Linked DNA regions of Schizosaccharomyces pombe. Changing the gene in region 1 together with any one later gene gives a genetic interaction. Each region holds a gene or a part of one and is shown on either strand. Other genes may lie near its edges.

Region 1 (7,367 bases):
TTAACAAAAACAAAAGTAAGTAAAGGGGCCTAAAATACTAATAGCTACTCAGTACCAATTTTCGAACTCAACTGGATACTAAGAGTAAGAGGTTTCGGATTTCACAAAATGTTTCATATAACATTGATTTAGATGTATGAAAGAAGCAGTTAACTCGTAGTTGAAACCTACAAACCAGCTGTTGTAGAAGAAAAATTGCTGCTTTTGGTGTATACTTTCGTAAGTCCTTAACGCAACTACGTATTCCCATCACAAATGTTTGCAATTTAAATAAGGTTTAAAAATAAGCGAAGATCATTGAAGCGAAAATTGTATTTGACATTTCGGTATATCTTGCGTAACGAAACCTAACGTTTAATTTTAGTGCATTATAGTAGAATGCAGTAAATGCAGTCGTGGAATGTAAGCGCTTCTTTGAAATATGCTTACTTAACACTACTCTGTAATATTTAATACACACAAGTAAACTATGGGAAATGACGGTAGGATTCGTTTATTTTGCTTCTAAATTTTAACATGTTTTAGGAGGATCATTACCAACCCGAAACGAATTAGTGAAAGAGCCTGGCAAAGTACCGCCGCTTGATATAGACTTTAAACGTTCTGTAAAATCTTCTCAATTTTCTCAGTGTGCCATTACGGATGAGCCCTTATACCCTCCAATTGTATCGTGTGGTTTAGGAAAACTGTATAACAAAGCAAGCATTTTACAAATGCTGTTAGATAGGTCAAGTGTTCCGAAAAGCCCTTCTCATATAAAATCACTGAAAGACGTGGTACAACTTCAAGTTGAGCTGGATGATTCCGGTAAAGTGCTATGGTTATGCCCGATTACAAGACATGTAATGTCTGATACATACCAATTCGCCTACATAGTGCCTTGCGGTCATGTATTTGAATACTCTGCCTTGAAGCAGTTTGGCGAGAAAATGTGTTTTCAAGTAAGTCTATCGATAGCTAAGAAAAGCATTTCCAACCCTTGAGTTATTGCTAACACAACATCAGTGTAATCAGGTCTACGAGGAAAAAGACGTTATTCCCATCAACCCGAATGCTGAGCAATTAAAAACATTAAGTAAACGCCTTCTTGATCTCGCATTATCTGAAAAGACTCACAGTTTAAATAAGGTACTTCACAGAATTTTCAAAATTCGGCAATGACTAACATACTTAGGCTTCAAAGAAATCAAATAAAAACGGCGATAAAAAACGAAAACATGTTTCAAAATCAAATAGCAAGCACGCTAAGCATGAATTGCGGACAAATAGAATGTTGGATGGAGAAAACGTAAAATCTGAGACCAGTGTAACTGACATGGAACGTGTAAAAAGGGTGAAGATTTGAGGGACGCTTTATTTATGGGTAAATTAATACACACATACATTTATCTTTTAAAAAAAAATCTACTATGTACATTTAAATAGGATTTTTTTATCATAAACAATGTTTTTAAATTAATGCAACGAACGATTAAATTTATTGAAGTAAAGTGAAAGTTATATCGCTTAAATAAGTAAAGCATTCTATTTCTAAATAAGCTTTTCGACGAATGGCTTCACGTTGTGGATGCATTTTTTTATTAATCAGTGCAATCACTCCAACCAAGCTTTTAAAGGTGACAGAAAATAATCCCAAAGGCTAAGCTTAACACAAAAGTGCTTAGCCCAATAGAATTAAGGCTTTTAGAAAGAGAAAATGTCAAAAAAAAGGTATTGAATTATAAGAGGTAAAATCAAAGAGAATGCACAAAGTAAGCTTGCAGATCTAAGGTCGAGGATGTTCAGATTGAAACCATCCTGATTAAAAATAGAAAATTTGGTAAACAGAAAATATGAAAATAGGATAACCCTGTGTTTATTGAAGCTTCTTTGCAGCCCTTCTTTGCTCAACATCCATTTTAACCAAGGCATTGGCAGCATTCACCAGCTGAACAACGTTAATAATTTGTTTGGCAAGGCAAATAGGACCACATAAAACGGCTAGAAGGGTCGGATAGGAAAGAGGGAGCTCTCCAGTCGAATAAATGAAGGAAGGAACTGGTAAGTAGCCAAGTTTGGGAGGAGTACGTGGGGTAAAAGATAGTAAATAAAGAGCAACGAAAAACATCTCATTAGCAGCGCAAAAGATGAATAAAACTTTATTGTTTCCATAGTAAAGTCTCAGCATCCAGTTATGCTTCTTTGTTACCGTTTTGTGTGAGGAAGCACCTTGATGAAGAGTGCTGTACATATGCATATAATGGCTGGCAAGGTCCAAGCTAACTAACAGTTGAAAAATTATAGCATATTTTGGATAAGCAGCACATAAAAAGCAAAGCAAGCACGAGGTGGCGCATCGGTCTGTGACCATATCCAAAATTGCACCGAAATTGGTGGCTTGATGCAATTTGCGCGCCGCCCAACCATCAAAAGCGTCAAGTAAACTTGAGTATAAATACACAATAGTACAATAATTTGGGTGCCATGACATAAAGTACAACGAAATAAGTACCAAAAAAACCCTAGTAAAACCTAAACAAAGAGTCAGAATACTGAACAATTATAAGAATGAAAGTCCAGCGCTAATTTCAGCATATTGAGAAAAGAGGCCATAAAAGATAATGATTCACAAAGTTTTAGTAATTTTGAAAAGTGACGAAAATGATGCTTTTATAATAGAGATAACTTGACTTGACGCAATAGATTATTTTCAAAAGGGTAAGTAAATCTGTTAAGTCTAAGAACACCTTAAAATTATTAAGCACAACAAATAATTTTACGCACATCTAAAGTCTCATTCATTATTTTAATTAACTTCCGAAAAAGCATACAAAGTATCCAATACTCCGCTCATAGCTTGCCCAGAGCAAAAAGGAAAATCATTTGACAGCTTTAAAAATTTAACTCGCATATTTCTTAAAATATGGTTCAGTTGGTGCTTTGAGCAACATGAATTCTATGTAGGCTCAATTGCTTACATCGAATGGCAAAACAAATGTAGAAAGCATACAGCCTTTTTTTTCTTTAAAAAGCTGATAGGAAAAAAATATCAAAAAAAAGTATCATTTCGAAAAGGCTTTGACCAACCTTCCGGGTAAGACATAATTAAAGAAGGAAATGTAGACCTTTTTGCTCAACATAGCTTTGTTGCTGTAACAAGACTTCCGAATAATACTCACCAATCAAATTTGGTACAAAAAAGTACACGTTTGGGTCTTTCTGCTCGTTCTTTCCCATTGTAACTAATGTTGCAAAAGGAAGATACAGCGTTAGTGGTCTGCCATAAAGCTTACCGCAATATCGCTTTCCGTTGGAATACGCAAAAAAAATATTACCGCCCGTACGAAATCACCGTAATTAATATTATAAAAGGCCAACGTAGGATTGTTTTCGTTTCGCTAAGCTTATTACCTTCTTTGGAACAAAACACTTGCGCGACAATCATAACCTAGCTTATTTAAGGTTACCTTGACTCAGTTCAATTATTAATGGTTTTGCACGAGTAATTTCTTTCATGTTTGTAGAATTATGAATTAAAATATTTAATAAAATTATTTATCTATTTTTTTAAGCTGTTACTGAGAAACAGTTCTTGATTTAACTATTTTTTTTTTTTTTTTTTTTTGACACTGTCAGTAATAATCTCGAAACATCATTGCGTAAAACATTTCATAGACAATCATTATTAATATTTCTTTAATAAATTAATATTTTTTCTAATTTCCTATAACAGCAGCGATTTTTGGAAACAGATAAAGTAGTAAAAGATTAAACCTATACATCTCACCATTTTTGACAATTCGAGTAAGGTAATGTAGACGCATTTGACACATATATGATCTCTAAAACAATTAAAACACTTATTATCACAAAGATATTTTTTTCATTCAAGCAAACAAAGCGAAAAAAAAATAAAAATAAAAAAAGAATTCTTAGTATTCTTCCTTACTACAAAAATTCATACTCTGACTTTATAAGTGTACTACAAATGTATAAAGTACATATAAGAATGGTATCTATTTATATTTTTTTAAAAGCATTATCCAATATCTTTTTAGCATCATCATGCGAGATCACAGTTAGGCTTTCATCTGGTGGCCATCCTTCACCGCCAGTACATATCTATATGTCTGCTCTCATTAAAGTTTGTAAAAAGAGTAAGCCTCACCTCCAAACACATTGCATAAAAAGAAAAACATATTGCGTAAAACACCTTGCGATAAGTAATTTTCAAAGTTTTATATTACAACGTTTTAGCTGTTTTTTATTTTGTTAGATAGGCTTAAAATTTCAAGTGAAATCAATCAGGAACGATTGAATTTATAAATTTAATGAAATCAGTCGGTCATTTCGTTCCGTGGCTCACTGATATAAGGCACCTGACGGATGGCACTATTAGTGAAGTGTTCGTGGGTGAAAGAAAGAATAGCAAAAAACTATATGTTATTAAAGTTCAAGGTTTAGTATTTAAAAGGCCACCTCACGATGCCATGAGAGGCAAGCTTATTTTAGAGTCAATAGGCCATCCACACATTGAAAGGATAGTGGACTCTTTCATAGACAATGAAGCAGGATCCGTTTACCTTATAACGAGTTTTAAATCGTTTGTTCTATCAGATGTGATGGATGAAATTTCAATTGATACAAAATGCAAGATCGTATTGCAAATAAGTAGCGCCCTTGAATACCTAGAAAAGCATGGGATTCTGCATCGTGATATTCATCCAAATAATATACTATTGGATTCAATGAATGGCCCCGCTTATCTATCTGATTTCAGTATTGCTTGGTCCAAACAGCATCCAGGAGAAGAAGTGCAGGAACTCATTCCCCAAGTATGTTAAAGAGAGTTTTATATTTTGCCGAACCTGCAAGATTTCTAACGTTTTTTTTAGATTGGAACTGGTCATTATAGAGCAATTGAAACCTTGTTCGGCTGTCATTCTTATGGTCATGAAGTCGATCGTTGGACATTTGGCATTCTGATCGCTGAACTATTTTCCAATCAAGCTTTGTTTGACGATGGATCTTCTGAAGGATGGCCTAGTGAATTAAGGTTAACAAGCAGTATTATTCAAACTTTGGGTACTCCAAATCCAAGCATGTGGCCTGTAAGTTTCAAATCTTTAACATTATATCTGAGCCTTTGAACAAAAACAAAACATTTTAGACTTTTTTTTTAAATAATAGGGTTTCATGCAGATTTTGCTAACTGTTTTTAAGGAACTTTCGACTTTCCCAGATTGGAATAAATTTATATTTCATGAATATCCACCCAAACCTTGGTCAGAAATTTTACCATCTGTTGATACTTCAATTCAGTATATAGTTTCGCATCTTGTCACATACTCAAATCGGGCTTCACCATCCTTCGTGATTGAGTCATTCCCTAAAGTATCTGCTAGGCTTTCACAATATGCATAAAATTTACTCTCAGGATTGGTGTAGGAAATACATAATTTATTTTAAAGGACAGTAGAAATAAACAGGTAGGCAATACTACCGTAGGAATTAATTATCTTAGCTTCAGTTAATATTCTTTTGTCTTTTTATTAAAAACTCCTTTTGATAATACTGAGTTTTATAGTAATATCCAACGTTGAATATCTAGTGCAATAAATCGCAACGATAATCTGTAATTCTACGCACAGCATTTCTTCAATCTCACATTAGGTTGATCACTTGTATTAAACAACCGAATAGGCCTACATCTGTTTTGTTTCCCACAACTTAGATACTTATTTTGGTAGCTTGATGCGCATGCTAACCGTGCACGACTACGCAATTTGGTACCGAACTCTTCCTCCCTTCTCACATCTACCTGAGCATTTAATGCCGCTAAAAATTGTATTGGAAGATAATAAAACATTCTTCAAATACTTTAAATTATGCATCTAGCCTAGTGACGGCTTAAAGATGGATTTGGAAGTCGTGGAGTTTCCCTTGCACCACAAATTAGCGCTTCCGTTTCGTATAGGTCTTCTGGTTATAGTCGGTATGAACTTAAGATTTTCAATTTACTAATACTAACAATCTCTATTCTTTAGGTACCTGGTTATGGTCAGTTTGTTATCATTTAATTTACATCCTGAATCGGTACCAACCAATTTCTCCCAATCCACGAGGTTCTCTGAATTCAAAATGGTATCACTTACTTCAAATTCCTTTATCTAACAGGCACACGGATCTTGAGGAGAATACTGAATTCAAGGCGAATTTAGTTAGCCCAGTTGATTTTCATGCTGGATATTGCTTTGCTGCTATACTGTCTATTTCTTGGGCTACTGGGTTTATTCTATTTTTAAAGAAAACTCAAGGAGACATTGGTGGCCTTTATTCTCACCCTATTTATCCTCTTCTCTGGGTAATAACGGCTTTTATTTTAATAGTTTTTCCCTTTCCATGGCGCTACCGGTCTTCTCAACGTGGGTTGAGGAAAAGCATAATTCGCGTATTTTTGTTTTTTCAAGCAGATTTTCGTTCCCCTTATAAAGATTTCATTGTTTCTGAAATATTCACATCATATGCTAAAGCACTTGGTGATTTTTACATTTTTGGTTGTGTCTTACAGGGTCATATTAGTAAATTTACACTTAGACCTGATCTAAAATGCGATGGCACTTTTTTTGTTCCTCTAGCAATGGCCTATCCTTTCATTGTTGCAATACTTCAATGCTTACATTACGGGTTATCTCGTAGAAAACATACATTCAAAATTAACCTGCTAAGCGCTTTAAAACATGCAACAGCTCTTCCGGTAATATATCTTTCTGCTATCATTCATGCAAAGCAAACTAAATTTACGTTGACATCTGGACACGGTTATTTATTTTGGTTATGGATTCTTTCGGCTCTCCTGAGCTCTGCTTATACATTCTTATGGGACGTCTTCATTGACTGGAGAATCCGATTTCCTTTTCACAAAAGCATTAATCATAAAAGGTTCCCTATGTTTATTTACGCTATTGGGTGCTTTATTAATTTTATTTTACGAGTTACTTGGAGTATGAAACTTCATCCCCGGTTGCATCAATTCCATGAGTATGAAATGGGGATATTTTCTTTCGAAATGCTTGAGATCTTGCGAAGATTTCTTTGGCTATTTTTCCATTTAGATGCTATCTCCTCATAGTCACTACGAGGTAAACTTTTTCTTTTTAATCATTTATTACAAGTCAACTCAAGTTTGCAAGAAGGAACAAGCCAAATTTCTCGATACATTTACATTCCTTAATTAAATTTTGGTCACACTAACAATGTAATCGCCTCCTTTTATTTCTAATCTTTTTAAGTACTAGTAAGAATGTCCTTTTATTTGAAAAAAATAGTTGTTAACCACTATGCCCATTACATTCGTTCACGGGGTCTTGGTGCAGCCTTTAATATAG
Region 2 (5,861 bases), 1.8 Mb from region 1:
ACACTGTATCAATTCCGGGATATCTGCTAACCGAATCTTGTCTCCTACCTTACCATCGTTTTCTGCTAAAGCTACATCAATTATAAATCCACAAGTCAATGGGCGCTCAAACTCTACGGGGAAAATAGGAAAAAATTATCGTCCTCGTCGTACTTATTCGGGACGATTGTTATGTGGTCCAAACAATTATGAAGTTTCAACTATAATGCGATCTCCCACAATTTCAACTGTTCCTCCTCCAAAGTATCTTTCAAATTCCATAAATGGCGCTAAATTCCTTAATCCGCTTGCTCCATGGACCCTAGTCAATGCACCACTGATAACAAATTTGACTCACGAAACGATAACCAGCCTTTTGGACCAGGAAGCCTTTTTTCATGGTAATTCTCCTTGCGCCTTACTGGCAAATTTTTGGGGTTCAGTCAATTACGGCCATGTTTTAGAGCGTCAGAACGTGTACATTGAAGATCTATCAAATCCTTCTTATAAACGTTTAGCTAGAGAAATTCACATTGAAAAACTTCCTTCTGAGCTTAAGTTGAGGAATGCTGAATTTAGAGGTATATTTGGTGAATCGGAAGCATCTACCGTTTTATTTGTATGCCGTGTTTGTAGTAAAAGAGAGGATCAAATACGTATGCCTGGTCGAATGTATTGCACTATGAAAGGGATTTACATATATTACAACATCAATGGATTGGTCCTCATTGAGCATTTCCCCATTTCTAGCATTTTAAACGTAAAACAATTTGCTAGTACTAAATGTGATTATTTTTACATGAATATCCAGAACATTGGGACTGTAAGGTTCCGTCTCTATCTCGATTCTTCGAAAGCTCTAACTGACCGACTTAATGTGTTACTGTGCAATTACATTGCCGATAAACCAAACAGTTCAATACAACTGTTGTCATGTATCAAAAGATTGAATGATGATGTAAAACGCTTTGAAAGGGGTGGTGACGATAATGCTCTCAAGTCTTATGGGGTACAGCCATCTCAAGAAGATCTCCTTATTCGAAGAGGAAGGAGTAGTAGAGCGCTAACTAATTTGATCAATAAGAATGAGAGTAATGATTCATTTATGGAAGACCTCAGGGACTTCAAGATTGCTATGCTTCCGAAAGAGACAGTCCAAGTTGTTCGTTCTCATCATCTGGACGATATTGTATTTGATCGAGTGTACAATGTTTCTACTAAGGCATTGTTTCATATTGTTTTTGGTGATAGAAGCACCGTGTTGTCTGGTGCTTACAATCTTCATGGAGTAGATGATGTCGAATTTTTACCATGGGGAAAAGATCCAAAAACCAATTTGAGTCGTCGATACATCAATTATAAGGTTTATAATTACGACCAAGAAGGTCAATGTCAATCTTACCACTATGAGGATTGCCAAATAATGGACGTCCGCAATGATTATCATTTATACATTATGACATGGCTTCATCACTCTTGGACTTTGCCTTATAGAGATTACTTTAAAATCGTGACAAAAACTTCTATATCTCACCTTAGAAGGGAGAAGTCTAGATTGCTCATATCTGTAGGCCTTGAATGGATCGTTAAACCTTTTGCTATATCAAAGGTTATTGAGGCTGAATGTAGAAAACTGGCTATCAAGTATATAAAAACGGAAGTCAACTTTTTGGAAAAGGCAACTAGAAGAGCAAGAAATCAGCCGCTTATTGCGATAATAAATCAATATGGAAGAGTAGGCGACTACAATGAATCGATGGTTTATCGAAGAAAAATACCTTTTAACTGTGAATTGAAAAACCTGTCAATTATCGATATTATTCGCAATAATTGGTGGCTTTTTCTTCAAGGATTGGCAATTGATCTACTAAAGCTGCCGTGGGCTGTCTTCCACATTTTCCTAAGATATTTATTTTCTCACTCATTTTTGGTTATTATTTTTGCTTGTTCGGTTATCTTGAACCTTTCTCTCATGTTTTGTTTTGGAGCTAAGTACTGGGATGAGCGACAGAATAACAAATTTGTCGGGCAAGTTTTCGATGAGTTTAAAAATATTGAAACTTCTGCTCGTTATGTTTATATGAAGGACGTTGATGATTTATTAGTCGGACTTCCTACTTATTTGCACCCCAACGTCACTTATCCAAGTGAATGGTAAGTTTGTTAGTAGTACCATGTAATTATAAATGTTGATTACATGTACATTATATTATCTTTTTTTTGTTATTATTATTATTCTAATCTTTTTACAGTTTACAATCATTTGCTTTAAAAAGTTCTCCTCAAAAAAGTCACTGGTTACGAAAACGGAATTATATTGCAGAAAAAAGAAAAAAAATATTGGAAAATTTGGCGTCTCTAAACTATTACGAATATATAATTCACGAGGATGCCGTATATCAATACATTCAACAAGAGCTGTTGGGATGTGACAAAGCAAGGGAATTTGATTTATACCCACCCTCGATGCAAAGGTATTGCGATTCTTGCACGCAAGATTGGAGGAACCGCACTTTGTTTTTCGGCAAAGACACTCTAGCTACAAGATTATTGACACTCGAGACTGTGGAAAACGCAGACTACGCTGCATAATTGTTAATGAAACTGTAACTTAATTATTTTTATTGTTATTTTATTATCTTTTTTATATTTAGGGTTTTATGAGTTATTTGATCAAGCACTCGTTTTTTTTTGTCAGATACACAAATTAATAAAGTTGAATTTATTAAACATATATATACCAAAGATAAGTGTAACTCCTCTACATCTTTCAGAATCGTCCTTTCTATTGTTTAATAAACAAGGTAATGATATGTCAAGTTGTAGCCTTGATAACCGCAATGATTACAGCCATGCACTTGGCAGCATTAATCGACAGCACCACCGTAAATAGTTTAAAACCTTCATCTATCTAAGTAGAACGCAATTACATTCTGCGCTAAACACATATTTAATTCTTTGTACTCATATTTTGTCACAGTACTTGATAGTACGAGGGTTGCTTCATTTTATTCAATTGCTTATAAAAAGAAGTTTCCGTGTGATGGAAAACATCAAAGTTGCAAAAGTAAGCATAATGCGATTAGATCTAAAACTTAATTTTATCAAAATATTAACAAATAGGTCGGAAATGTGAAGTTTGTGAACAAAGGAAACGAATTGAACGGAACATTGCATTTGACAGCGTATCATTCTATTTTTTCAATCTCGGAAAATGGGAAGGAAATTTGGACGGCATATTCCATGATAAATAATGTAAAGCTTTGCTCTAACGAAAAATCATTTTGTATACGTATACAATGCCGAGACTTTATGTTCTTTTGTTGGAGGTTTCAAAGCACGGAGGATGCGATGGACGTATACGACACTTTACAGGAATTGATGTCTATTAATTCAATAAATATGCTATACGCATTTTACTATATGCCCTCCGGAGATGAAGAGAAACTGCCATCTTCTTGGAAATCATTTCTACTTGAAAATGAATATAGGCGCATGGGAGTAGGTGATTCCACCCAAGCTGATGGTGCTGGCGGAAATTGGAGGATAACTAAAATTAACGAAAATTACTCTGAGTGCCATTCTTATCCGCAAGCTCTAGCCGTTCCCGCTAGCATTTCTGACAGTGTTATATATTATGGATGCAAATATAGATCTAAAAATCGATTTCCTACCCTTACGTATCTCCATAAAAATTCTGTAAGTTTTACTAACTTTGAGAGGCTTTAATACTAATTTATTTAGTTTTCAATTACGCGGGCCTCTCAACCCCTTGTGGGTATTCGTCAAAATCGAAGTGCACAGGATGAAAAACTTGTTGAAGCTATATTCGCAACATCAATCATTCCTGGAAAAGAAAATCTTATAGTTGATGCGAGGCCTTCTACTAATGCGATGGCTAACATTGCCGTAGGCGCTGGAAGCGAAAACATGGATCACTACCGTTTTGCAAAGAAGATATATCTTGGAATTGATAACATACACGTCATGAGGGATTCTTTAAATAAAATTGTGAATGCTCTTAAAAATACAGATATTAGTGCGGCACCTCCATTGATAGAACTCTTAAACAGATCAAGTTGGCTTAAGCACTTGGCTAACATTTTACAAGGAGCGGTTCTTATTGTTAAAACAGTTCATTTTAGGCATGCCCATGTACTTGTACATTGCTCAGATGGATGGGACAGAACTTCCCAGTTATGTGCTCTACCTCAATTGTGTTTGGATCCTTACTATAGAACAATTGAGGGATTTTTTGCTCTCGTCGAAAAGGATTGGCTTTCCTTCGGGCATAGGTTTGCAGAAAGATGTTGTCATTTACCTGGTAAACGTATTTTTACAATCGACAGCTCATACTCAGAAGAACCACCCCAATCTTCACCAAGTTCGACTTTACAATACACTTTTTCAACAGTACGCTCTGCTTTAAGTGGCTTCTCAATTGACCATTCCGAAAAAATGATGTCTCCGGTCTTTCATCAGTTTTTAGATTGCGTCTGGCAAATTATGGATCAATTTCCTAATTGTTTCGAGTTTAACGAGAGATTTTTACGCCGTCTACTTTACCATCTTTACTCTTGCCAATACGGTTCGTTCCTATACAACTCTGAACGGGAACGAGCTCAAGCATCCGTCAGCACTCATACTCGTTGTATCTGGGACTATTTCCTTTCTCGGAAGGATGAATTCAAGAATCCTAACTATGTACCTTATGATGATGTTATAATGCCTGATCCTTCATCGCTGAGATGGTGGTCAGCTTCTTTTGCTCAACCTGATGAAAACATGAATATCCCATCACCCTCCGAATCTCCGTCTTTATGAAACATTTACTTGAAAATCTTCATTGGACATTTTCCTTCCATTTTTGTCTTCATTGGAAGTTCTTTATTAATTCCTTTTTATGCTCATTTTAGCGCAATTTAGATTGATTGCATCTCTTTCTTTCTCTCTTTTTAGCCTCTCTTTTGCCTAATTCAACTTTTCATCATCGCATGTTGACTCCGATAATCTATCTACATGGACTTTTGCGAGAGACTATGAACGCATGAAGAGGACGACAGAGTCGTTTAATTTACTGATACATATTTTGAAAGTTTACGTCCCAAATCTTCCATTTATTTTGGTGATCCATGCTAAAATTTTTTTATCCCCTTTTATACGATTATCGCTTGGACTACGAATCCCGTTCCTATGATACTTTTATTTTATCAATTCTTCCAATGTTCTTCTACTCTACTCGTATAACGGACCATTCACTGCATTCTCATGCAATCACTTAACAAAGTTTGGTGTAGATATGCTAAGCGATGCTTATATATAGTATGTATGATTGCACATCTCATGATTGGTAGTTTAACAGCTGATCTTAAATGACTGCCCAGTAACGAGTTTTTTCAATATAATAGTGAGTGTTAGTAAGCCTTTCTAATTACTGCAGTAAGAAAGCTTTTGAAATTATAGTATTAGTTTTCATAACTTTAAATTTTTCTTTTCTTTTTTTTTTACTTTATTGTAAGATTCACATCGTACCAGATTTATCTATCTCATTTCGGAGCGTATAATTGCGTGTCGGTAATTTTCTATATAAGACCGATAGCCCGACAAGGACTTTTCCTTCACCAATACCCAACGAGTTGGATTTGTTGATTCATTCATCGTGCTCCTTCCTTTAAAACGATGGAGATGAATCAAACTGAGACTTTGATTCCTGCAGCCCGAAACGTTATTCGGGTGCTGGGATACGAAATTGAATATTCGAAATGGACAATTTGCTTCGCCCTTTTGGCTGTCTGCATTGCTTATGATCAAAGTATGTTAAAGATTGAGAATTATTTTTTTGTATCAACTGCTGCATAAATACCACGATGAAAAGCATCATT

The links. Genes that interact genetically often act in the same process or in processes that back each other up.
Region 2: mutations in csk1 (region 1) and ymr1 together harm fitness more than expected from each alone (negative genetic interaction), as found in Schizosaccharomyces pombe (one large-scale study listed by BioGRID).

What each region holds. Positions count from the first base shown.
Region 1 is NC_003424.3:646,337-653,703, reverse strand, and holds csk1 (cyclin-dependent kinase-activating kinase Csk1), read left to right. Parts: upstream 1-4,138; 5' UTR 4,139-4,310; coding exon 4,311-4,814; exon of another isoform or gene 4,815-4,874; coding exon 4,875-5,090; exon of another isoform or gene 5,091-5,202; coding exon 5,203-5,403; downstream 5,404-7,367. Other genes in the region: DNA replication termination factor Rtf2, read left to right, coding at 470-482, 526-941, 1,006-1,128, 1,175-1,345; phosphatidylinositol synthase (CDP-diacylglycerol--inositol 3-phosphatidyltransferase) Pis1, read right to left, coding at 1,856-2,511, 3,159-3,216; erd101 (EXS domain-containing protein), read left to right, coding at 5,896-5,974, 6,027-7,111; chaperonin-containing T-complex beta subunit Cct2, read right to left, coding at 7,327-7,367. UniProt on the Schizosaccharomyces pombe protein: Acts as a CAK-activating kinase that specifically activates crk1 of the crk1-mcs2 CAK complex.
Region 2 is NC_003424.3:2,481,908-2,487,768, reverse strand, and holds ymr1 (myotubularin family phosphatidylinositol-3-phosphatase), read left to right. Parts: upstream 1-2,852; 5' UTR 2,853-3,022; coding exon 3,023-3,046; intron 3,047-3,102; coding exon 3,103-3,678; intron 3,679-3,723; coding exon 3,724-4,803; 3' UTR 4,804-5,361; downstream 5,362-5,861. Other genes in the region: ltc2 (BAR and PH domain-containing protein), read left to right, coding at 1-2,133, 2,232-2,571; C-22 sterol desaturase Erg5, read left to right, coding at 5,659-5,791.